3 linked regions of the Arabidopsis thaliana genome follow. The protein of the gene in region 1 interacts with the protein of each later gene in a pairwise test. Each region holds a gene or a part of one and is shown on either strand. Other genes may lie near its edges.

Region 1 (8,472 bases):
AACATTAACAAATAAATAAAAATGGAATGGAATATGTGGTCCAGAACAAGAAGTGTATATCGAAATGATTTACTTAAATACCTTTAACTATTACTCCAATCCTATTAAAATTAAAGTCCATCAGCTATGATTTACAGGAGTGGACATTCTGATATTTTATCTAATTCGATAAATGTTGCGGTTCATTCCAAATTTGTACCTATTTAAAGGTAAAATATCTATATAGTCTTATCGAATTTTGGAGCTAAGATTATTTTTAATTCCTAAAAACATATGTTTAGTGAGCTAGTTAGTAAATGAATCTAATTTTTTTGTTGGTTAACAGAAAATATCACATACTTACATAGTGATTTCAAATACTAATAAATTGTTTCATACTATATGCGTATATCCTATATGGACTGACTGGTCAGACATATTGAACGGAGTGGAGTCTTTATTCACATAACCTAAAAATAACTTTTTTTGATATGCATGTGTATCTATAGGCCAAATATATTTTAGTTCTACCACAGAAGTTAAAATAAATTGTATTAGTAATATATTTAGTCCTTTGAAAGTGGGAAACGAAATTAGCCTCACACAAGCACAGTGATGATTGATTTCTTCTTCTTTTTTTTACCCAAAAAAATCCATTTTTTCTTGTAATTTCTTATTTCCAGATTATTTTCTTCATAACAAAAAAAAAAGAAAAGAAATTGCTCACTTCACTTCTCACTAGATTCTTTATAACGAAACCTCCACTACACGGGCCCTAAATTTGGGCCACATGGGCTTCTCTCTTAACGAATTACGCACGAGTAAACTTCATTTTTCCAACAAGAAGAAGAAACTCAGGGGAATCTAAAGATTGTTTACTTTAATTTAAGAAATATGGAGAAATCATAATAAATTAATTACGTACTACTTATAGTAAATTTGTTGAATTACATAAATTCATAATTCAAATTTTACAAATACTTTTAATATCCTGTGTTATTTTAACAAAGCTGGTCTGGCTCTTAAGTTCTCATCCCAAGGACCATGGGATGTTTTGCTTTTTTTTTCTTTTGCTTGTTGGATGAGTATGTGAACCTTTTTATGGATACAGGACGAATCCCATTGTTTTATTTACATTCTACATTATTCGTTTATACGCTTCTATTAACCTTTGATTTTTAAAACTCTTCTCTACCTATCAATTTGTAATCGGATGATCCCTCTAACCTCACTTCTGTCTCATGCACTGACTTTAATTGTTTCGTAATTTACAATGTAGGATTTATAGATTTTTTTGGCAAATGAAAAACAGAGTGTTTACATCATGTATTACGTATATGAATCATACACTAAATCCAACATATATATGTAGAATTGCTAATTAATCTTTTTGTTGATTAATTACTTCAAAGTATCAGTAGACAAGAAACTAAACATAACAGTGTCTCTTACACTTCCCTTGATACATATAAACTTCCTCATCACACCTTCTCTAGTAAACCCAACTTTTTCAAGAACCCTTTGAGATCCAACATTGTCCACATCAACAAGTGCCTCAAGCCTTTCAATCTCTGGAAATTCCTCGAATACCTCCGCGGTCACTAGCCTCACTGCTTCCGTGGCAAACCCTTTTCCCCAATACTTTCTCGCTAGGACATAACCAATCTCTTTTCTGATGTTATCAACCGCCATGATCAAGATGTAGCCGATTGGACGGTCGTCTTCTAAGCAGATGGCTCGGAGCCAAGGGTGTGTCAGGACACGATCGGTTATGTATTTGATAGCTTCGTCTCGGCTCGTGCAAGGCTCCCAAGTGCAAAATCGAGCCACTTTAGGATCTGTGGCCCAAACCATGTAGTCATCGACGTCGGAAAGAGTCATCGGCCGGAGAGATATTCTTCCCGGAGGCGAAGAGCTCATTATTGGATTAGTTTCTTCTGAGTCCATCTCCATTTAGGATTAGTGATTGTTTTAGATATCATATCACTACGTCTAAGCGATGTCTTTATACACATCGCGATCTTGAAAAACTTTGAGATTCTCCCTTATTGCTTTTGACTAAAAAAACACTAAATATTACCATTTGCTATAGATAAGTGTATTTAGTGTTAAATATACGACATAAGATGAGGTGTCATCGTGTGAGTGGATAATTGTCTATATTTGACCTTGGACTTTCGACACTTACTTGGTTGCCAAACAAAGTATTGTTCTGGTTTCGGAACTTAATGTGTTGCTTCCAGTTGGATGCCCACAATGCCACGTGTCAAATCGTGTGTGGTCTGATTCCCAAAAAGGATTTAACTGTTTCTCAAGTTATTCTAAATGGATTAAATATTTTAATACTGTTAATATTTGTGGTGCAAATGATCGTAATCGTTTGTTATATACTGTCAAAATCAACTCAAGAATCAAGTCACTCAACATGTTGTATGATTAAGTAATTTAGCTAAAGATTAATTAATCGAATGTTATCAGAATTCCATTCATCTATCGCTGTAAAACTAGCTATCACACTATCTTTTTATTGTATAAAATATTTCATGTTTAGATTCAAAAAGAAAATATATATATATATATCATGTTTCATTTTGTACTTTTAATTTTCAATATAAACTTACATTTTTTCTGAGATAGTGAAGCTTTGTTTTATTTGGTGAAGTGAACATGGTAAATAGTAAATACATTACTCTCAAATTATAAAAAATAACTTTTGTATGAAATAGTTAATATATAAGGTTACAACTAACAATTACATAAGAAGAAGAAAGATAGAGCATCACATCAAATTATACATGTGATTTTTACAAACTAAGCAAAATATAAATTTCGACATCAAACAAACTTAATATATATATTTGATATTTGTTAATTCAAATCAGATCAGTGCAACGAATCAGAAGGCAAGAAACTAAACATGACCATATCTCTAACATTTCCTTTAAGATACATAAATTTCCTCATCACACCTTCTTTCACAAACCCAACTTTTTCAAGAACCTTTTGAGATCCAACATTGTCAACGTCAACAAGTGCCTCAAGCCTCTGCATCTCTGGCTTCTCCTTGAATATCTCCCCCGCCACAAGCCTCACCGCTTCAGTGGCGATCCCTTTCCCCCAATACTTGCTTCCGAGGACATAACCAATCTCTCCTCTGATCTCATCGACTGGCGTTACGGAGATCGAGCCAATCGGACGGTCGTTATCTAAGCATATAGCTCTAAGCCAAGGGTGTGGCAAAAGAGCGTCGTTTAAGTACGCGATCGCGGCTTCTCGGCTAGTGTAAGGCTCCCACGTGCAAAAGCGTGTGACGTTTGAGTCAGTGGCCCAAACCATGAAATCGTCGACGTCGGAAAGAGTCATTGGCCGGAGATGGATTTTCTCCGGAGGTGAGGAACTCACGGTGGATAGGGTCTCCGGTTTGATCGTAGTAGTTGAGTCCATCTCCATTGACTTTTTCTTGGTTACTTTCCTTTTTGAGTCTTTGAAGCTTCTTTGGGATTCTTTAAAATAAATTATCTCTCTCAATTCTTACAGATTTGTGTAGAGGCATTATGATAATACTTCTTCTACAAATCACGATTTAAATACTGATTTTTTTTTAACAAAAAAGAAAATAAACAGAACGTTCCTTCTTGCTTCGATCGGTCAAATACGCAACAATTAGTTCTTGTTGAATGGAAGGTGTGAAAAAGACGGTTTATAATGGGTATGGGTGAACCGTATATTTACCATCCATTCATCGTTTTTGATTTAAAAGAGGTATATTCAATCTAGTATTTAAAGTGACTTTCGTAAATTTTACAAGTATATGTTATTTAATTATGGATTTTGAAAATTCTAATGAAATCTAGTGTTATTAAAATAATAATTTAAAAATCTACCTTTAAATTCACTGTTATTAAAAATAATTTATGGATTTGATTTTTATAAGAATGTATTCAATCTAATATTTTAAGTGATTTGTGTAAAATTTATAAATTCTATGTTGTTCGATTATGGATTTGAAAAACTTTAATGAAATCTAGTATTATTGAACTAAAGATTTAAAATTCTATCTTAAAATCTATTGTTATTGAAAATAATTGGTAGATTTGATTCTTATTAATTTTGAAGGATTTGAGAAAGTTCTTTAGTTAAAAATAACAAAATCGAAATTCATGGTCTTATATAGAATTTTAAAATATTTTATAATAAATCACATCAATTTTCCTAAAATCATCAAACTCATATAAAAACTAGCTAAAACTCAAATTGTAAGGTCCAAATTAATGAGTCAACTCAACTCAACTCAACTCAATCCATGAACCCTAATGAGTTGAAAATTTTGACTCAAATGAGTTGATGAGTCAAATGAGTTGATGAGTCAATTGGTTTGATGAGTAAAATGAGTTGGGTTGTAATGGTTAATGGTTTCAATGGTTTATCCAATTAACCCATCAAATTTTGTAAAATTGAATTAAACCAACTAAAATCTCTAAACCAATGCCAATTTAAGTCTAACCAACACATCTAAACCAATTTAATAAAATTAATATTTTTCCAAATTTCTTAAATATACAAGCGATGAAATTGAGAAAAAGTAAACCCGTAATTTTTCCGCCAAAAACGTAAATCCGTGATTTTCCCGCCAAAAACGTAAATCCATGATTTTCCCGCCAAAAACGTAAACCCGAGATTTTCCCGCCAAAAACGTAAACCCGTAAAAAGTGGAATCCGTAAATATATTAAGTTTTGATGATAATGAATTAATAATGATAATTATTTATTATTATTTTATAATAATAATTAATTAAATTATTACTTAAATGGGTTAACCCATTTAACAACTCAACCCATTAAATTAAATGAGTTATGGGTTGACTTAACCCATTTAACAAAATGAGTTGGATCAACCCATAACTCATTTAACCCTAAACTCATTTGATTATGAGTTGAGTTGAGTTGTGTTACCCATTTTGACACACTTAGATCTAATACACCTCTTTATTAATTTTAAAGGATTTGAGAAAATTTAAAAAGATTTATTTAGTTACATATATAAAAATTCAAATCTCATATTTTTACTGGAATTTGATTTTTTTTTTTTACAATAAATCACATAAAAAGACATTAAAACTCAAAATTATTTAAAATATAAGGTTCAATACATATTTTGTCAATAAAAATTTAATAAGCTGCTAATATAGTTCATGAGAAAAATCAAAAATTAATTTATCAATCGAAAAAAAAGACGAAGAAAAATTAATTTATCTACGTAGCGCAAGAGACGGAGTGTTGTTTATTTAAAGAAAAGAAAGAAAAAAAAAAGAACGAATATTAAAATGGCGAGTCGCTCTCTTTTCTCTATCTCAATCTCACCTTCTCAATTTACAGTTTTGCCATCCATCAACAACGAGAGACGACGCCTTGCTATCGCCGCTCGATCTCACCGACTATCACGCCGGAAGATTCGTAAGAGACCTCCTGATAGAGATATGTCCTCCATAGTTTCAATCCCGGAGCTTCCTCGCCGGCGGGATTCTGAGGAAAGCCTGCTTTTAGATTCTCGAATCAGTAAGTTCTTAAAGCAACAGAATCCTCAGAAATTGGCATTTGGGATTAGGTTTTGCAAGTATCGAAGCTCCATTAACTGAATCCTCAGAAATGTGTGTATATGAATAGGTGTAGCTGAAGGAGATACATCGAATACAGATGTAGAAGGAGACAGAGATACTACTTCTAGTATTAGAACACAGCCTCCCCCTCGTAAAGGAAGAAATCTTAGTAGCAGCAGAATCAAATTCTACGGTGTTGAATTATCACCAGATAATGTTGCTGTAGCAATGGTGTATTTTGTTCAAGGTGTTTTAGGACTCGCTAGGCTCGCTGTTAGTTTCTATTTAAAAGATGACTTGCATCTTGATCCTGCTGAGGTATGCTTTTTGTAGTTCCTTGTTGGACTTTCATGGGAATATCTCTTTATAGGCTGACAAATATATACCTCTTGACTAGACAGCTGTGATAACGGGTCTTTCTTCATTGCCGTGGCTTGTTAAGCCTCTCTATGGTTTTATCAGGTATGAGTTCTTTATCACCTCTATACCTCTTGACTGTGATAACTGTTTAAGGAAGTTGGTCTGTTTTGCAGTGATTCAGTGCCTCTATTTGGTTATCGAAGGAGGTCATATCTAGTTCTCTCGGGACTTCTTGGTGCATTTTCTTGGAGTTTGATGGCTGGTTTTGTTGACAGTAAATATAGTGCTGCTTTTTGTATACTTCTCGGTTCCCTCTCTGTCGCCTTTTCTGATGTTGTAAGTTTTCAAATCCATTCTGGTTAACTTAGCTTGGTTAAGTTGCAAGATAGAGTTGGATATATTGAAATATTAATTAAGTGGTTAACGTTTTAATAGGTAGTAGACTCAATGGTAGTGGAACGGGCTCGTGGTGAGTCACAAAGCGTGTCAGGATCGCTGCAGTCTTTGTGCTGGGGATCCTCAGCTTTTGGTGGAATTGTGAGTTCCTACTTTAGCGGCTCCCTGGTGGAGTCATATGGTGTGAGGTACAGTTCACAATTTGCGCAAACAGTAGCTTTTCTCTTTTTCGGTATTCCGTGGCATAGCTAACTAACTAAGTGGCATTCTAAAAGCTGTTATACCTCAGGTTTGTATTTGGGGTGACAGCTTTACTACCCTTGATAACTTCAGCAGTTGCTGTTCTCGTGAATGAACAACGTGTGGTCAGACCAGCATCAGGGCAGAAAGAGAATATAACGCTGCTCAGTCCTGGTTTTCTTCAGACCTCAAAGCAGAACATGATTCAGCTATGGGGTGCCATTAAGCAACCGAATGTTTTTCTCCCCACCTTATTTATATTCTTATGGCAAGCCACACCACACTCAGATTCTGCAATGTTTTACTTCACGTATGTCCTCTTCCACTTGGTTCATGCCTTCATGGTTATTGGCTTATTTCATATTCTCTGGAATGTATTAACTAGTCTCTAACTAATTTTATTTGGTACAAATTTCACCTCAGAACGAACAAACTCGGTTTTACCCCGGAGTTTCTGGGACGAGTTAAACTTGTGACCTCAATTGCCTCATTGCTTGGAGTAGGACTGTACAATGGATTCCTGAAGACTGTTCCATTGAGAAAAATCTTTCTCGTGACGACAATTTTTGGCACGGGTCTTGGGATGACTCAGGTTGGTTCCCGTCCGCTCTTTACAAGAAAAACTTTGCCATCTATTATCTGTTACACAACCAATAACTCTTGGGACCGTTCTTATGTTTTGCAGGTTATCCTCGTGTCAGGTTTTAACAGACAGTTGGGGATTAGCGACGAATGGTTTGCTATAGGAGACTCTCTAATCCTAACAGTCCTTGCTCAGGTTTACATATTTGTCAGCATTGAGTTTTTCAAAGGCTGCATTATTGGAATTTGTGATTCCATAGTTAATGGAGCATTATTGGAATTTGTCAATATCTATGCACTGACAGCTTAAAATCGAACTGTAACAGGCTTCATTCATGCCGGTTCTTGTGTTAGCAGCGAGATTATGTCCAGAAGGAATGGAAGCAACTCTGTTCGCTACACTCATGTCAATCTCTAACGGAGGCAGTGTTCTAGGTGGGCTTATGGGTGCAGGACTGACTCAAGCATTCGGCATTACAAGAGACAGTTTTGGTAACTTATCAACACTTATTATCCTCTGCAATCTTAGCTCATTGCTCCCTCTGCCTCTTCTCGGTCTTTTACCGCGAGATTCTCCAGATACTCTTACTAAAGATGACGCAGACGTTGAGATGAAGTCCAATTAAGGAAGATGATGATAATTATCAAAAGTTAAAATGTGATATACCTTTAGAGGTGTTCTGTGTATTCAGTTCCAACCCTGTTATTACTTGAAAAGAATGAAGCAGGCTTTTACATGGAAACTACTTTTACCCAAAATATCATGTAACCAAAATGTTGTAATTCTTAAAACAATAAACTCTTTTGTTATTAGATTGCAGAAAAATACTTCAATATGCAAAAATAGTCATGATAGTAATCTCTACAAGATAGTTTCTAACATGAATCTTGATTTGATTCAACAGACCTGATTCACTCTTCTTCATCAGCACCATAGTTGTGGCATAGTGATGCGAGTCCCAAACTTGTTGTCTTCTTCTTCTTCAAGGTTATAATGCAAGCAAGTTTCTTAGTCTTAGGTTTCTTCTCATCTACTGCCTCCATTCTTACTTTCTTCGTCTTCTCCATCTCATCAGTTTCTTCGTCGACAATCCTCCTCTGCTTACCAAATTTGGTAGACTTTATCAACGCTGCATCTTCCTCCTTTGCAACTTCTTCTTCTTCTTTGTGTCTTTTACTCAAATCCTCAAGCATAGAGTCTACACTCACCGATACGCGTCTAGATTTCATAGATTTCATCTCATCAAGTGCAGCCATTACATCAACCTCTCTTTTCGAAACCAAAGTTCTCTTCTCTAAAGAACTCATCCTATCCCCA
Region 2 (7,574 bases), on another chromosome or scaffold:
AGAGCTTTGGCTGTCATTAACCCTGGAAACCCGACAGGGCAGGTAAATTAATCTTCAAGACTAAAACTCACAAATTTATACCGATGTGAATTTCATAGTTTCGTCTAAATTTGACCTCTGCTTTGTTCTGGTAAAAGGTTCTTTCGGAAGAAAACCAGCGTGACGTTGTTAAGTTCTGCAAGCAAGAGGGTTTAGTTCTTTTAGCAGACGAGGTTTATCAAGAGAATGTCTATGTCCCTGACAAAAAGTTCCATTCCTTCAAGAAAGTAGCCCGCTCTATGGGCTACGGTGAGAAGGATCTTGCCTTAGTCTCTTTCCAATCTGTCTCCAAAGGTTTGATACAAAAACAAATCTCTTAGTCAATTGATAATTCTGATCATTGCGATGGGAAACTAGTCAGAAAACTGAATTCATTATTTCTGACAGGGTACTATGGAGAGTGTGGGAAAAGAGGTGGTTACATGGAGGTTACTGGATTCACTTCTGATGTAAGAGAGCAGATATACAAAATGGCTTCTGTGAATCTTTGTTCCAACATCTCTGGTCAAATTCTTGCTAGCCTCATCATGAGCCCACCCAAGGTATAAAACATCTATATGACTTTATCATCACAATTGATTCAGTTTCCACCTGTTGGCTTGGACTTGCACATCGATAATTGACCTTAATAGCTTTTATTAAATTTGATCAGCCTGGTGACGACTCCTATGAATCATACATAGCAGAGAAGGATGGAATTCTCTCATCTTTGGCAAGACGTGCAAAGGTTAGCCATTTAATAGACAACTAGGAATATTCAAGATTAGAACTTTCTGTTCTTAAAGTGTTTGAACTCTAACCTTGCAGACTCTTGAAGAGGCTCTGAACAAGCTAGAGGGAGTTACATGCAATAGAGCAGAAGGAGCTATGTATCTATTCCCTTGCCTTCACCTTCCACAAAAGGCAATTGCAGCTGCTGAGGCGGAAAAGACAGCACCAGACAATTTCTACTGCAAACGCCTTCTAAAAGCTACTGGAATAGTCGTTGTCCCTGGTTCTGGCTTTAGACAGGTTTGAAAAAAAGAAATAGCTTTTTCTCCAAAGAACCAAAACTAAAACCTCACTTGCTGATATTGATTATGTCTTTGTTCGGTTTGATGTAGGTACCTGGAACATGGCATTTCAGGTGCACTATACTTCCCCAAGAGGATAAGATTCCAGCGATTGTTGATCGTCTAACTGCGTTCCACCAGAGCTTCATGGACGAGTTCCGCGACTAAGCATTCTGTTTTCAAGATCCCTCTATAGATTATATGAGTAATAATAAGAAAAAGGTCCCATGCCGTTTCTTTTTCATCGACTTTGTGTTTACAGAAGCTAAGATGTGAGAGCATTAGTTAGTGCTCTCTTTCTTATTCACTTTTTGTTCTGTTCTCTTTATAGTGAAAAACCGTAATATAAATTGAGAGAGTTTCTTATAAACGGTTAGTCAAAATGTAATCTCATCAAGAAAACACAAGATTGAACCATTGTTGAATTCCATGTTCAAAGTTTCGATTTCACAGAATCATTTTCGTTTGAAAATATAAATAACTGCATAAGATTAAAGATTGTGGAGAAAAGTAGTGATTAGTTGAGAGACAAAACAGCTGTTACCTGCAATTTATTCTTTCTGAAATTGGAGAATTACGCTAATACCTCCAAATTCCCTTAGTAAAATGTAGACAGTAGTCACGTTCTCTATTCACATGGCCACCATCTCTTAAACTTCAAAGCATGCACATGAGTTAGGTAATGTGTACTGTACATATGATAATGTAGATGCTGCTGAGTAATATCATCATCAGTAAATGATAAGGTAAGTGACTCAAAATCTGATTATTATAGCAGCAGTCAAAGTAAGATCACGTAATTAGATCCCAATAACTATTTCTTCAAACACACACAAATCTTGGTCTATAAAGCAACACGCTTTAGAAGTCTCTAGTTATCTAACTCATATCTCTATCCAAGATTGTCTCAGTTACTGTCACAAGAATAAGATACGAGCTTTCAAGAATCCTAACGGATTTACAAGAAGAGAAATCACAATGAAGAGATACTGTTCAGTGGCTCTGGTTCTGTTACTTGTAGCTTTCTTTAGCAGCAAGTATAGTGTAGAGGGCCGTTCTTTGTTAACGATGACACATTCGAGTCAAGCTGCGAGAGATTTGCATGTAAGCAAGGAGATGAAGAAAGAGCCACTTAAGGGAGAAAAAGATAGCTTAAGAAGAATCCCAAGGGGTGGCTCAAACCCTATACAGATTGACAAGGATCAGGAGAAAGCATCAGTTAGAGGAGAAAAAGATAGCTTCCGAAGAGTCCCTACTCCTACTCCTGCTTCTTCATCGCGTCACTTGTCTGCTTCTTCTTCCGATATCTCTGCTTCTGATTCCTCTTCCTCTCTTCCCGTAACTCTTGACTCCATCAATACCAAGGTCGGTTTTTCTTGACTCCACTCTAGAGACTGATGTCTTAAAACGTTTCTTGACTGCTTCTGATTTTTATTTGTGGGGATATAAATGATCACACAGGTTCTCAAATATGAGTATGCTGTCCGTGGAGAAATTATCAACATTGGTCAATGATGAGACTGGATGTGTTGAGGCCTGAGAGAGTCGGCTGGTCAAACACGTGAAAGAGAAAACCTAATTGCATGTTTAGGGATTAAGCTAAGACTTAGTCTATGTTATTATTCTGTGTCAATTTGTGTCGTGCAAATAAATAAGAGTGACTTGGTTTCCTTGTTTTAAGGAACCAGCATTCCAACCTTTCCCGTTTGTTCTTAATTGTAAGAATCACTTGTTTCCTTCGTTATTTGCTTTTTCTTGTACGCCTTACATAAAATAAGAAAACGACCAAGAGAAAATGCAGTTTCAATCTGCCAAAAATACTTCATGTGGTATATAAATATGGTACATGTGCAGGTCAAATCTTAAAAAAAATTGAAAGCTGGTTTAACTGATAGAATACTGTTCTACATTATGTAATATGTATGGTTCAAAGATTAAAAATCCAAACAACTGAATTTCCAAAGTATGAAGTATACAAGAGATGAAACAATCTGATGATCAATAGCATAAAATCATATAATTAAACTTAACAAAACTAAATAAAATATTTTAGAAATTCATTAGAGGAATACTTCACGACTGGACTAATCAATCACCGTTTTGACCTACACGGCATCGATTAACCCCATCCGTCAGATTTTCCAATTTTTGCATATCCATCGTTGGTTTCCATCCCATCACATTGATTGGCCATGCCGGAACCATATCAACCGTCCGATCGTTACCCATCGCCACAATCTTTTTCCCTATATTTTCTCTCAACATACTCAATGCTGCCATGTACTCCTCAAGCTCCTCTTCTGGCACACTCTCCACCGGACGCTCCCACCACGGTCTCCTACTTTCCTCATCCGCCGCGTTATCACCGGAATATCCCTCCAACTTCACCGGACTCTTACGAAGATACTTGTCTATCAATGCGTCTACATGGCCAAATCTGTAGATCCTATCGCATTTAGAGAACGTTATGACGGCGATTTTTGCGCCCGTGAGAACGCTCAATTCAGCGGATTTCTTGAACAGCCCACGACGGCGTTTCGAGAACGTTACTTGTCTCTTGGTCTCTTCCTCGATTTTCTTGATCTCTATCTTCTGTCTTCCTCGTGTCGTTTTAGGGGTTTGTGTTGTTGTCTCCTTTTTTGGTTGTCTAACCAACATGTTAGGGCTTTGAACAGAATCCTTGGGCGTCAAGCAAGTCATCGATGAAGTTTCTCTTTCTCCTTCCATGAACAAATCTTTCATGACTAACCGAGAGGGGAGAGATGAAAATATCATTAGGTTTTTCCTTGGTCGAGGGATTTATAGTCGTTCATGATTATGTAATAATAAAGGAATTAATTTGTCTTACTTTTCTTCGTACGTTTATGGAATGTTGTATTAAATGCACCTCCAATTAATTAATATTTTTCGGAATGATTCAATGAATCAAAGATAGCTTCTCGTAAAAATGTAAGACATGTGTTGTCTTATACAAAAGTTATAGAAATAATATAAAATCCGAGATACTACTTTCCATTTTAGTCGTTTATTGAATAATCGATTGTGAATTTGTGATACACATTATATTTATATAATATATGCATAGTCTACCTAAATATACACGAATCTCTTTTTACTATCACGTACACATATACAAACGTAGCATGTAGAACAATTATGTCATGCCAAGCAGAAGAAAAACATATGAGTATATGACGTCTTCTTGCCAAGAAGTGATCACATATTCAAATTACACATATGATATTTAAGAATTCCAAATATCACGGTAAAATGTCTAAGTGACAAATTGATCACATATTCAAATTAATTAAGTATCTCATTCGTGGCCAAGAAGTGATTTGATGACATCCTTGTTACTTGATTACAATCTATTCCATAGAACAAAAAAAAAAAAAAAAAAAAAAAGAGTTTAAGAACAGAAACTTGGAAAATAATCAATTATTGAACTACCTCTCTAGAAACAACTAAAATCCCGAATATTTATAAACACCAAAGCAGATAAACCACTTCATAACCAATGCAATTGAAAAGGTTCGGGGACAAAGATAAACCTTGAAATCTTACTAGGGAAAACACCAAAGACAATCTCCATTTCAATGGATCAAATTTGTTTTGAAAAATGTATCCAAAAGTCATAAGTTTATATAAATCGACCTTTCAACTTGACAAATCAGTACTATATAGCCAGCGATTAATGTAAAGAATAGGTTTTCTATAACAATCAGTACAGAGATTTTTAAAATAATTAACAGAAAGTGGCAAAGTTTGTGTAGTTTAATCTACAATAATATGTGAAAATATCTCTGTAAATTTAAATATTTTTTAAAAAAACATAAATAAATAAATTCTTTCATACGTAAGGGTAAAAAGGTAAAATGAGTAAATTCCTTCCCCGAATTTCTCTTTGACTCCGGTGGTCAACGTCGAGCCGAGACGGCAAACTTGAATCAATTTTAAAACAGAGCTTCCGACGCTGAAATTGCAAAATCAAAATCTCTCCAATCTTCGAAACTGAGCAGTTGAGAGAGAGAGAGAGATAGATGGCGGCGAAGACGATGAGGAAGGCGGAGGAGCTGGTGGAGAAGGCGATGAAAGGAAACGATGCTTCTCATGACGCCTGGCACGTGTGGAGGGTCCGAGACCTTGCTCTCTCCATTGCTCGCGAGGAAGGTCTCTCTTCCAATTCTGACTCCATGGAAATTGTGAGTTTGAAAAATCCCTAAATCTCAAAGTTCTAGTTCAGCTGAGCCTGATGAACCTTCTTCTAGTTAGTTCTTCTAGTTAGCTATAGCTGTTTATTGTCAAATTTCAGCTCTTTTACTTTAGAGTGAACCATTTCTGTTGATACTTTGCAGGTGGAGCTTGCAGCTCTTCTCCATGATATAGGTACTTGGTTTTATTTTCATTTCTGTTTTAGTAATGTGGTTCTAGTCCACAGGTTGATCATAATTCGTATCTCTTGCCCTCTCTCTTATCAGGTGATTACAAGTACATAAGGTTTGTTTCTCTAAGTTTTCTTTTCTTTTGAACCGCTTGAGTATAGACTAGTAATGTCCCTTCCAACATTCTTGATCACACTTCCAGGAAACAAAAGTGTTTACTTTTCTCATGAAACTCTCTAAGTTCCCTGCTTTTAACTTTGTTTTATCTAAACTGGATGAATAAAGAAACTTGGAAGTGTTTTGTTTGCGAATGCCATTAGGTAAAGCTTGTGAGAATTCCTTGTCAGATTTGCTTACCTTAGGATTGCTAGGCTCTACTAAGTGGAACTTGGTGTGGATATAAACATAAAAACTACTTAACTATGAATGCTGAAGATTGCTTTCCTTCCGCTGATATGTTGCTTCATGGCAAAAATAATTATAACCGGAATTCAGAGACCCTTCGGAAGAGAAACTTGTTGAGAATTTCCTAGATGATGAGGGTATAGAAGAGACCAAGAAGACGAAGATACTAACGATCATCAATGGAATGGGTCAGTTTCCAGCTCCTACTTTTTACTCAACATATCCAATCAACTATAATGTACATGATTTATCACTACAATTAAGTCATTCTGTTGTATATAAATTTGTGAACAGAACAAGTGTATTCTTTCCAGGTTTTAAAGACGAATTAGCAGGAGTAGCACTCTGTGAGTCTCTTCCAGAATTTGGGGTAGTTCAAGATGCTGATCGCCTTGATGCAATTGGCGCCATAGGTAAGAATACGTCTCTTTTCTTTAGTTGCTTTTGATATGTCATTGCCAAATATCTGCTTTGATGTCATGTGAAAATTCTCTATGTTATGGAATTTGTGCTATTAGTTGTTGTTGATCTCTTTCTGTTATAGGAATTGCTCGTTGCTTTACATTTGGTGGAAGCAGGAACAGAGTGCTTCATGATCCTGAGATCAAGCCCCGGACAGAGCTAACCAAAGAGCAGTACATTAAGAGAGAGGAGCAAACTACTATTAATCACTTTCATGAGAAACTCCTCAAGCTAAAGAAGCTGATGAAAACTGAGGTAAGTTTAACCGCAACTCTATTTTGACGCGAAAAATTTGTTTCGATTTGAGATTTAATGTGGATTGAAAACATATCAGGCGGGTAAAAGGAGGGCAGAGAAAAGGCACAAGTTCATGGAAGAGTATCTTAAGGAGTTCTATGAAGAGTGGGATGGGTCAACTTGAAAAGTTAAAAATGATAAATGAAGCAGAAAAGCAGAGGATTTGTTCAACCGGATTTTATTGAGTAAGCAGTACCTACCAAACCAATATGTGGTTTAGGTTTTAAACAGAGTGGCAACTCTCTCTCTCTTTTTATTTTTTGTTTAAGGCAACTCTATTTAAATAGCTCGTAATAACTATACATTTATAAATGTTAAAATTGCTTTGTTTTTAAAAAAAGAAAACTCTATTATTTTGTCAATGCCAATGATTGTGGAAGAAATCAAGCAAGGATTACACGATAGAGCCAATCGTTTTCTTTTCATAATTTTTTTTTTTACGCCAAAGTCAGTTGTTGTCTTTTTCGTAAAGGGTTTTATAAAGTCCAGTGGCTTTTTGTTTGTCAACTGGTTTAAATATTGACTTGCTATTTTCGTTTTTAAGTCTTCTTTAAATTTTATTAGTGGAAGATGATAAGATGTCTTCTGGATGTTTTAGTGGATCAAGTCATTGCGAGGCTATCTTCGGTCGGCCATAATATAACATTTACCTGGTTTGAATATCAGAATATGTATATTCTTATACCAAACTGACGTGATTTAAAAACGTATAATGACGAAAATTTAGTATTAGTGACATTTGTTTGTCTTTTGATACCTAGATAATAGTTTTCGTTCGTTGGGTAATCTTCATCTTATGTGTTGGCAGTTAAGATTCTTCTTTTACAATTTAAGTCTGGTTTTGCAACAACATACACAAAATACAAAATCAGGTTCTTGGTGGGTATATAAAAAAAAAAACAGTTTCATGTGAAGAACTTACGTTGGGAGTTTTACC
Region 3 (8,334 bases), on another chromosome or scaffold:
GTGCTGTTAAGGGTAAAGGAGATTGTTAATTGGACCAAAACCAATCCCTTTTTTTTTTTTTTTCCAAAACCAATCCCTAAGAATAATAAAAGAACTTTTTTTGTTTGGCATTAGTCTATCAAAAACGTTGACCTGTTTTTACGTGAAGTCAACCGTTGATTTTTTCATATTGGGCCAAATATACCAATATACTGGCCCAATGCAATTCAAGCATGATGGTGGTACAGTCGGAAATAAAAAACTTGAAAGTTGAAACATACATTACTTTAACCCGATTTAATTAGTAGGTCGACACGCAGAAAAACAATTTATGAATTGGTTATCAGTAATTTGATGTCACTAATTAGTACAATTATCGCAATAGTTGCAGGCCCCAACCACTATAATGTTAATATCACGAGAAACCAATCGATTTTTAAAGTTGCAAAGCAAAGAAGTTCGAAACTCGTTAACTAAACCCACCCTTACGTAAACATTTGACCATATTCTAATATGCATGTACATATACGATGCATACATATATATTTGGAGCTATAAGGAGAACCCTAATGGCTAATGACGTACCAAATGACGCCACACGATAAATCTCAACGAACACTCCACCACAAACATATAGATTACAAAAAGATACATTTAAAAAGCCATAATTAGTGGATTGCTAACGTTACTTACTTACTTTACATCCATTTACTCATATATATATACACCACACACACAAAAATATGTGTTAACACGAACGATGCAAGGCGACAAAAATATAAAAGTAATTTAGGAAAAATATATCGCTAATTTGTTGAACTGTAGAAGCGTAGAGTTAATTTTCTGGATCTGTTGAGTACATCCGACGGCCAAAACTTAATCGACACGAAAGTTTAGGTCGAGGACCCGAGCAATGTTAGCATTTAGTCGCCATTGTTCTTAGTCTTATACTCTTATTAATGACTTAATAATATCAATTATTGATCGTCAGACTTATATCTATTTAATATACTAATAAAAAATTAGTTTTATATATATATATATATATATATAGAAAAGTATTAACGATTTCTCCAGTATGCGACTACCTGGAGACTAAATTATCTTAAACAACATTCTATAGTATTTGTATCCGTAAAGTTTTTTTTTTTTAAATCAGTACTCAATAACATCAAATATTTGCAACTCATTTTCATAGAAACGACAGACTTTTTCAAAGAAAATTCAAATAGCAAGAGTGTTGCATGTGGACATCCATTGCCAAAGAAACGACACGTTTAAGTTTTTCCATGACAAAAATAATAGACTCATTTAGGGTTTTCCCAATTTACAAATTTTGTCGTTATATGGCCTGTATTCTTTTTATAGTGATTAAAAAACTTTACATGCGTCATATTTAGAATTTCTTCAAACTTTTTATTAAAGTTTCCTCCTCGACTTTAGTTTAAGATTTTTAAATTTAATATGACCTAAACGGGGCTAAACTAGCCATAGGCTAAGTAATTAGCATAAATATAAGAAAAGCATACACACCAAGTTGACTATAATCTTACAAATAAGTATTTGAAGTTTTAACAAATTTTTAAGAATATTTGTTCAGATATGATCTACTGGAATTCCGTTACATTTCAATGATAGTTTTTGTGGTTAACTTTTTTTAAAGAATTAAATCTTTTTAAAAAAAAAAATTGTTTTTTTCAGAGTTTATATAGTAAAATTTATAAATATAGGTATAAAATCAAAATTTATTGGATTTTCCGTAAGTTTAATTGTATGTATGAATCATCAATAGTACAAGATCCATAATATATACCTATACGCATCAAAATTGGTATATGTTTCCTCAAGCAAAGGGAAGTTCGTTAATTAGCATAAGGGTAAAGAATAATGTCTTCTACATGATTCGCATGACTATTACTTGAGTTATATAAAGATTCTATGTACGTATGTCTTCAGATATGTAAAGGAAGAATTAATGTAATTCTAAAATGTTCTAAAAAATTGATGCGGGTTTTAATTTAGTGGTTTGTATGTACGAATGTTGCTACCCTGTTCGCTGTCCGGATTCCAATATGATAAATATGCGTGTGAGTACAAACGAAAAAAAGACTATTATAGAACATTAAATCTTTAAATTATTGAGTTATTTACGTGTTAAGGCTCAATGAATATTCGAACTAAAGTTGTGACATCAATTTACAAGTAAATGTGGGCTTTCCGTCTTATAAACTTTTTTCATTTCCCATGACATGTGTATTGAACTCCTTTAATACAATAATGAGGTGAAAACTTTTTAAGATAAAGATTTTTGTAACTCCACTAGGGAAAAATCATTGTATCAAACTTTAAAAAATTTCGAAATACAAATGTTAAAATAGACCACTTAGCATGAAATGTTCGTATACGTATATAGATCGAGCTTTAAGAACTTTGTACTAATTAGGATCAAACTATAAAATATTTTGCTAATATATCAAACTGTATATGATTATCTCAACAGAACCTTGTTGTAACTTGCTATAAGCCATGTTGAAAGCTGGTTCACCAGCCGGGCACAAGCTTAGCTCCTGGCTCATCGACCGATCTGCGATACGACTTTTTCAGTGGTTAACAATAGTAATAGGTCCCTCCACTCGACCTTTTTTAATGTATATAAAAAGCTAAGATGTGAGCTTTTTTTTCTGGACATTTAAAGTTGAGTTCACATGAGACCGAACCAAAACATGAATCTGGCTATAATAAAGCGACGTGTATATGTAATATATATAAGTCTTTGTCCTCTCCACTTTATTCTATATGAAATGCATGTGGCCGTTGCTCCACATTTTTTGTTTCTCATCATAAATAAGCTAAGTAAAGGTATCTAAAAATTAATATAATTATAGTATACTAAATTTAATTTTAATCAGAATTTTGTACTAGGGATTGTGTGATTTAGAAGTCTAGGCGCATTTTTCATCCTTATTAATTATCTTTCCTTAGATTGGTAAATTATTAAGCGAAAAAGCTATGTAATGCCGTATATATATTTATACAATCAATTATGATTGATGCAGCATTTTAACCAAAGAGAAAACAATTCAACATTAAGATAAAAATTAATTTATTTTCTATATTTCCATTAATTTTCTGTTGTATATTTAAACATTATTTACGAAACAATATATTTTGATTCAAGATTTAACAATTAAATTATTGAATTTTTCACATTATATTTCTAATGAAGAAACTAATCTAAAAATACTCTACATTTGATGTATCCTTGCAATCGAAATATTCAATGTTTCCGTGTAGCAAGCAAGTATATATACTTAACTTTTTGGTCATAGGTTAACTTATAGGGTTCTTTACAAAAAGCATTGGTCTCATCTCTCATGCAAAGCACCAGTTTGGTTCAGTTAATTGAAAAGTATGTTCCTTAGATTCTCTGATTGAAACGATGATTCTAGTCCCTCTCCAGTGTGTGTCCATCCCGTGTTAAAAGAAATTGACAAAACTAAAATAAAGAAAGATTGCCATTCTCTTTAAAAAAAGATTGTCTTTCTCTTTAAGAAAGATTATTAAACAGTGAACATAAAGAACCACAAATTACTCTATTCTGACTGTAAATATCATAATTAACCAGCATATGTTCACATACAATTTTTGTTTTATCTAATCACTAACTAAAATGATAAGTTTATTGAAGATAATATGGAATTGATAATTTTTTGTTTTTTTTGTTGAATCTTCTAACAAGAATGAGAGAAAACTATATGAAGTATTCAATTCCAATATGAAAAGTTAAACTTTTTCTAGGAGTGTAAAGAAATATCTCATTCTTGAATTTCTTAAAACGTGTGAAATATGGACTGTTTTCTTCATCACTAAGCTATTACTGGTTACATAATTTTCAAATTTGTTAATTTATTTTTGTTATATGGACCCAAAACAAGCTATTGGTGCCCTACACAATATTTCCTGCTTTTACAAAAGTTGGCTCTGCCAAATAAAAATTTTCAAGTTTTTAACCCCACCATAGTGCAACATGACTCAAAAGCTGTTTATACAGTATAGTCTACGGTCTTACATCGTATTTTGGAAATATGACCAAATTACCCCTTGGTTTGTCCATAAATATCAAGCTCCAACAATGCAATTCTTCCCTTTTCCCCTTCTAATTTCTCTCATCTCTCTATTAGAAAAATTATTAGCAATTATGTTGTCCACTGCACCGGCCTTTTCATTCTCCGAACCGGGTTTGGTTAATCAATTCTCGGGTTTCCAAACCGGGTTCACTCCTTGGGAATGGGATTGCTCTGATCTCTTTTTCGTGGACCAAATGTCTCTTGAACCGGCCATCCCTAGTCCTTGTTATGGTGAATCCGACACTGGTTCCGTCAAAATTAATTCCGGTTCTCATGACATGAAAACCGGTTCTGACGAATCTTGTGCCGGTTTCGTCAAAATTAATCCTCGTTGTGACGACGCCGACATATCAAACGATCTACCGTGCTCTCAAGCAGATGAACCGGACTCGGACGACACAAAACAATTGACAGCCATCACAAATTTCGGTTCGGGAGAGAATAACCATAACCGGAAAAAAATGATCCAACCGGAGATGACCGACGAGCGGAAGAGGAAGAGGATGGAGTCAAACCGGGAATCAGCGAAACGGTCAAGAATGCGTAAACAAAGTCACATTGATAACTTACGAGAGCAAGTAAACCGGTTGGATTTAGAAAACCGTGAGCTCGGGAACCGACTCCGGTTAGTTTTACACCAGCTTCAACGAGTGAATTCCGACAATAACCGGCTCGTGACAGAACAAGAGATACTCCGGCTAAGATTGTCGGAGATGCGTCGGATTCTGATCATTAGACAACTTCAACAACAGCAACAATGGGAACTACATAACCGGAGAATGATCATGACTGAACAAAACCACCCTCATCTTCAATGATAGATCAAAATATTTAAGAAGAAAAAATATCGAAAAACTTAGAACAATAACCAAAAAAAAAAAGCAAAGCAAAAAAGAAACTCTCGCTATGTCTCTCTATCTCTCTATGTAAATGAAATGAAGGTTAGGAAGAGAAAATGATAGTTTTCTAATTTTCCTTTCCACTTTCTCGTTTTCTATATGTTGTGACTCCACTACACTAGAGAAGAAGGAAAACAAAACAGATTTTTATTTTGGTTTTCTTTTTCCCACTCTCGTGTATGAGATAAATAACTTAAAGAGTTATTAAATTAATACAACGATTTACATTATTACTTAGTGGAAACTGGAAAGGCTTTATGCGCATTGACATCATGCTACAACGCCCATAATTGTTGAAAAGATACACTGTATTTTAAAGTACTAAACCAAGCCTAATAAACCGGTTGCCACGATCCCAAATACTGTAATATCACTACATAATATATCTTAATCGTTAAAATGCCTATCTCGGCCCAAATAAAGTTTTGGAACATAAAGCCCAACAATAATTTAGGTCCTCAAGTCCATTTTTGTTACGACCCTAAAAGTTTTCCCTTGATGAAAGAGCAAAGATAAACCCTAGTTTGTAACTGAACAATTAGAATAAAGATTGTGATTATATGAAGTGATTATCAAACAAATGATTCAGAAATCGGAAACGAAGAAAGAATCAGAAGAACAACGATTTTCTAATTTCCTCTTTAAGCTTTAGAAAGACGAAACAGAACATAATGAAAGAGAAAAAACAGAGCTTTTCTTTTTTTGTTTCCTGCCGCAGGACTTGGTTTCAGTTTTCAGGTTGTGTAATGAAAGTAATCGCCATTGTGTCTGTTGTTCTCTGCAATGGGGCTGCTCACGGAGCTGTTGTTAGAGAGTGAACAAAATGTGGACTTTTGCAAAACCCCTGTAGGAGAAGATCCAAATGTTGGACTATTCGTTGTACTGTTTAGTACTTCACCTAGAGGACCTCCTAAGGAGTTTCCCCATGAGATTGGTATCCAAGTATTCACCTTTTTCACAGTAGGCTCGATTGTTGTTTCATCGGTTTGGATCGATAGGTCAAGCTCGCGGGATAGCCTGAGAGGCGAGAGTGTTGTTTTTTCTTGAGCATTGTTGTTGTTGTGTGTGGAGGAAGGGGATGATGATGCTATTGGAATTGACATTGAGAGCTGTGTCCAATCTGATGTCAGCTCTTCAGGCCAAGAATTGTGATTGTGATTCCCTGAATGCTTCTCTTGGTTGCTGCTGAAATCCAAGAACGATGATCCATAGGTCTTTGCGGTATTCGGGTTGAGTAACGAATCAGAGGATATGTGTCCAAACTCAAAAGGGTTGTTGTTGTTTCTGTGTTTCTGATGAATAACCGGAGATTCCTTGGGTTGTAAGTTGACGGTGGAAGGATATATCGAAACTCCTCTGTTTTGCAAGAGTCAGTAAGTGAGATATGAACTAACAATGAATATGCAGAGTATTAAAAATCTGTTTTCACCTGTTGTTAGGTAAAGATTCTGTAGAAGGATTGATATATTGACTTCCAATGGCGAGGCTGCGGTTGCTTGATGCACGGGCATTGCTTCTGTTAGTATTACCAGCGACAACAGGCTGTTGTGGTGTAGTAACCGCTTTGGATGCAGCAGCGGCGGTTTGGTTTTGGCCAGATTGGACTTCCACAGGCTTTCTTGAACGATGACGGCCTCTGTTGATGTGTCTTTCACAGTATTTCTGATCAGGAACGGCGTCTCTTGAGCACCGCCATTTCTTCCCATCTGTTCTGCGGCATCTCCCTGGCTCAGGGTCCATGTTACCGCCTGCGAAACCGAGATGGAAAGTTCCCCATCCGACTACACAAAACCGAACATAAACACTCATTAACCATTTATAACAAAATTCCCTATGAAAAATCCTAAAAGCAACCATTGTTGTAAAGACTTTTCAACCAACAAGACAAATCTTGAAAACCCTATGAGCAATGTTATGAAGGATTTAGCACCAAAATGACATAAAAGACTAGATAAAATCTGATTCTTGGATTAAGCAACCACACCACAAATGAGTTGATCAAAACCCCAAAACTTTCACAAACAAGTGATCGCTCAATGGAAAGTTATGTGCAACTAGAAATTGTGTTAAAGAGATGGAGCTTACAGGAACTAGGAGGCAAAGATCCGTAAGGATAAAAAGACTTCTTGATAGAGATGAGCAAACTAGAAGGAACAGGGACATTGGCTGTGATGTACTTATAGATCAACGCCTGTTGCTCTAACTCAGCCCATTGAGTCAATGTAAAAGGTCCTTTAACACCTGTGAAGTTCCCTTGCATGCTCATGTTCATCATCATTCCACCAGAACCATATCCTCCTGCATTCCACAGCAAAAATGTAAAAAATTTGATTATTTTACACAACCCATTTCACCAAAATCCAATCAATAAAGAGAAGACATTATCAAACCTGAGCTTCTAAAGTAAGAAGGTGGAGGAATCTGGTGAAGAAACGGCGAGAGAGAGTTCTTGTTATTACTGCTATTATCCAAACCGACATATTTACTGAAATCAAGAGCGTCTGGTTTATCTGAGAAGCTAAGCATTTGTTCTTGACGGCGAGAATCAGAGGAAAGAGGAGAAGCAGATCTCATGAGAGGAATGCCTTGGTGAAACGACATCGTTTTGCAATAAGCAGCTGCAACAGAAGAAGACAAGTTTTCTTCTTCTTCCGCTCTAGTTGTCGTTCTTGCTAGCTTCAAGCTTCGTTGCAAGCAATCCTCACCGATGAATCCGGATCTATCTTGTTTAGTTCCTATAAGCTCTTTTAGACCAAGTGACTCATTTTCATTACTAGTAACCGACCCAAGAACATGAACACCAATATCCATAAGAAGTAAGTAATATAAAAAGAAAAAGAAGGAAAAAAAGTTAGATAATGACTTGAGAGATAGTTGCCATGGGAGGAAGATAGCTAAAGATGAGAGAAGAGAGAGACAGAGGGAGAAGAACGAGGCTTACTTTTGATTTTCTTGAAAGAGATATATATTATTATGTGTTTTTAAAATAAAATGAAAATAGTTGTGGTGAAGCTTTGGGAGGAGACAAGAATGGTACCTAAAAACACAATCCGGATCTCGGACATGTTAGAACATATTTATCCAATGCTTTTTCATTAATTTTGCTTTTAGTTCTTCTTCTTTGTTTTGTAAAGTTTTCTTTGCTTGCTTTAAAGGTACAAACTTAGCTTCCAATTTGTTTCAAGTTGTGTAAATTTATGGTCCCAAATTAGTTGTATAATATGGTGGTAGTTTCTCTATAAGAAAACGTAGGCTATTTCTGTATTATTTGCAGTACATATTTCCCAATTTGTAGGCATTTTTCTTTATGGGGGTTATTATTTTAGATT

What was found. Proteins that work in one complex are often made in the same cells at the same time.
Region 2: the proteins of AT2G32030 (region 1) and AT1G17310 interact in a two-hybrid assay, tested with the Arabidopsis thaliana proteins (one large-scale study listed by BioGRID).
Region 3: the proteins of AT2G32030 (region 1) and bZIP7 interact in a two-hybrid assay, tested with the Arabidopsis thaliana proteins (one large-scale study listed by BioGRID).

The regions. Positions count from the first base shown.
Region 1 is NC_003071.7:13,629,813-13,638,284, forward strand, and holds AT2G32030 (Acyl-CoA N-acyltransferases (NAT) superfamily protein), read right to left. Parts: upstream 3,740-8,472; 5' UTR 3,430-3,739; coding exon 2,863-3,429; 3' UTR 2,656-2,862; downstream 1-2,655. Other genes in the region: AT2G32020 (Acyl-CoA N-acyltransferases (NAT) superfamily protein), read right to left, coding at 1,381-1,932; AT2G32040 (Major facilitator superfamily protein), read left to right, coding at 5,304-5,535, 5,644-5,894, 5,974-6,038, 6,110-6,272, 6,372-6,520, 6,622-6,882, 6,996-7,164, 7,258-7,350 and 1 more; AT2G32050 (cell cycle control-like protein (DUF572)), read right to left, coding at 8,067-8,472.
Region 2 is NC_003070.9:5,924,835-5,932,408, forward strand, and holds AT1G17310 (MADS-box transcription factor family protein), read right to left. Parts: upstream 4,000-7,574; 5' UTR 3,867-3,999; coding exon 3,180-3,866; 3' UTR 3,091-3,179; downstream 1-3,090. Other genes in the region: AlaAT1 (alanine aminotransferas), read left to right, coding at 1-42, 138-333, 427-581, 692-766, 847-1,050, 1,143-1,259; AT1G17300 (uncharacterized protein), read left to right, coding at 2,070-2,456, 2,553-2,606; AT1G17330 (Metal-dependent phosphohydrolase), read left to right, coding at 5,132-5,293, 5,447-5,477, 5,570-5,588, 5,969-6,066, 6,193-6,291, 6,423-6,595, 6,675-6,761.
Region 3 is NC_003075.7:17,719,794-17,728,127, forward strand, and holds bZIP7 (basic leucine-zipper 7), read left to right. Parts: upstream 1-3,845; 5' UTR 3,846-4,006; coding exon 4,007-4,924; 3' UTR 4,925-5,244; downstream 5,245-8,334. Other genes in the region: GRF2 (growth-regulating factor 2), read right to left, coding at 5,740-6,361, 6,435-6,786, 7,091-7,303, 7,396-7,816.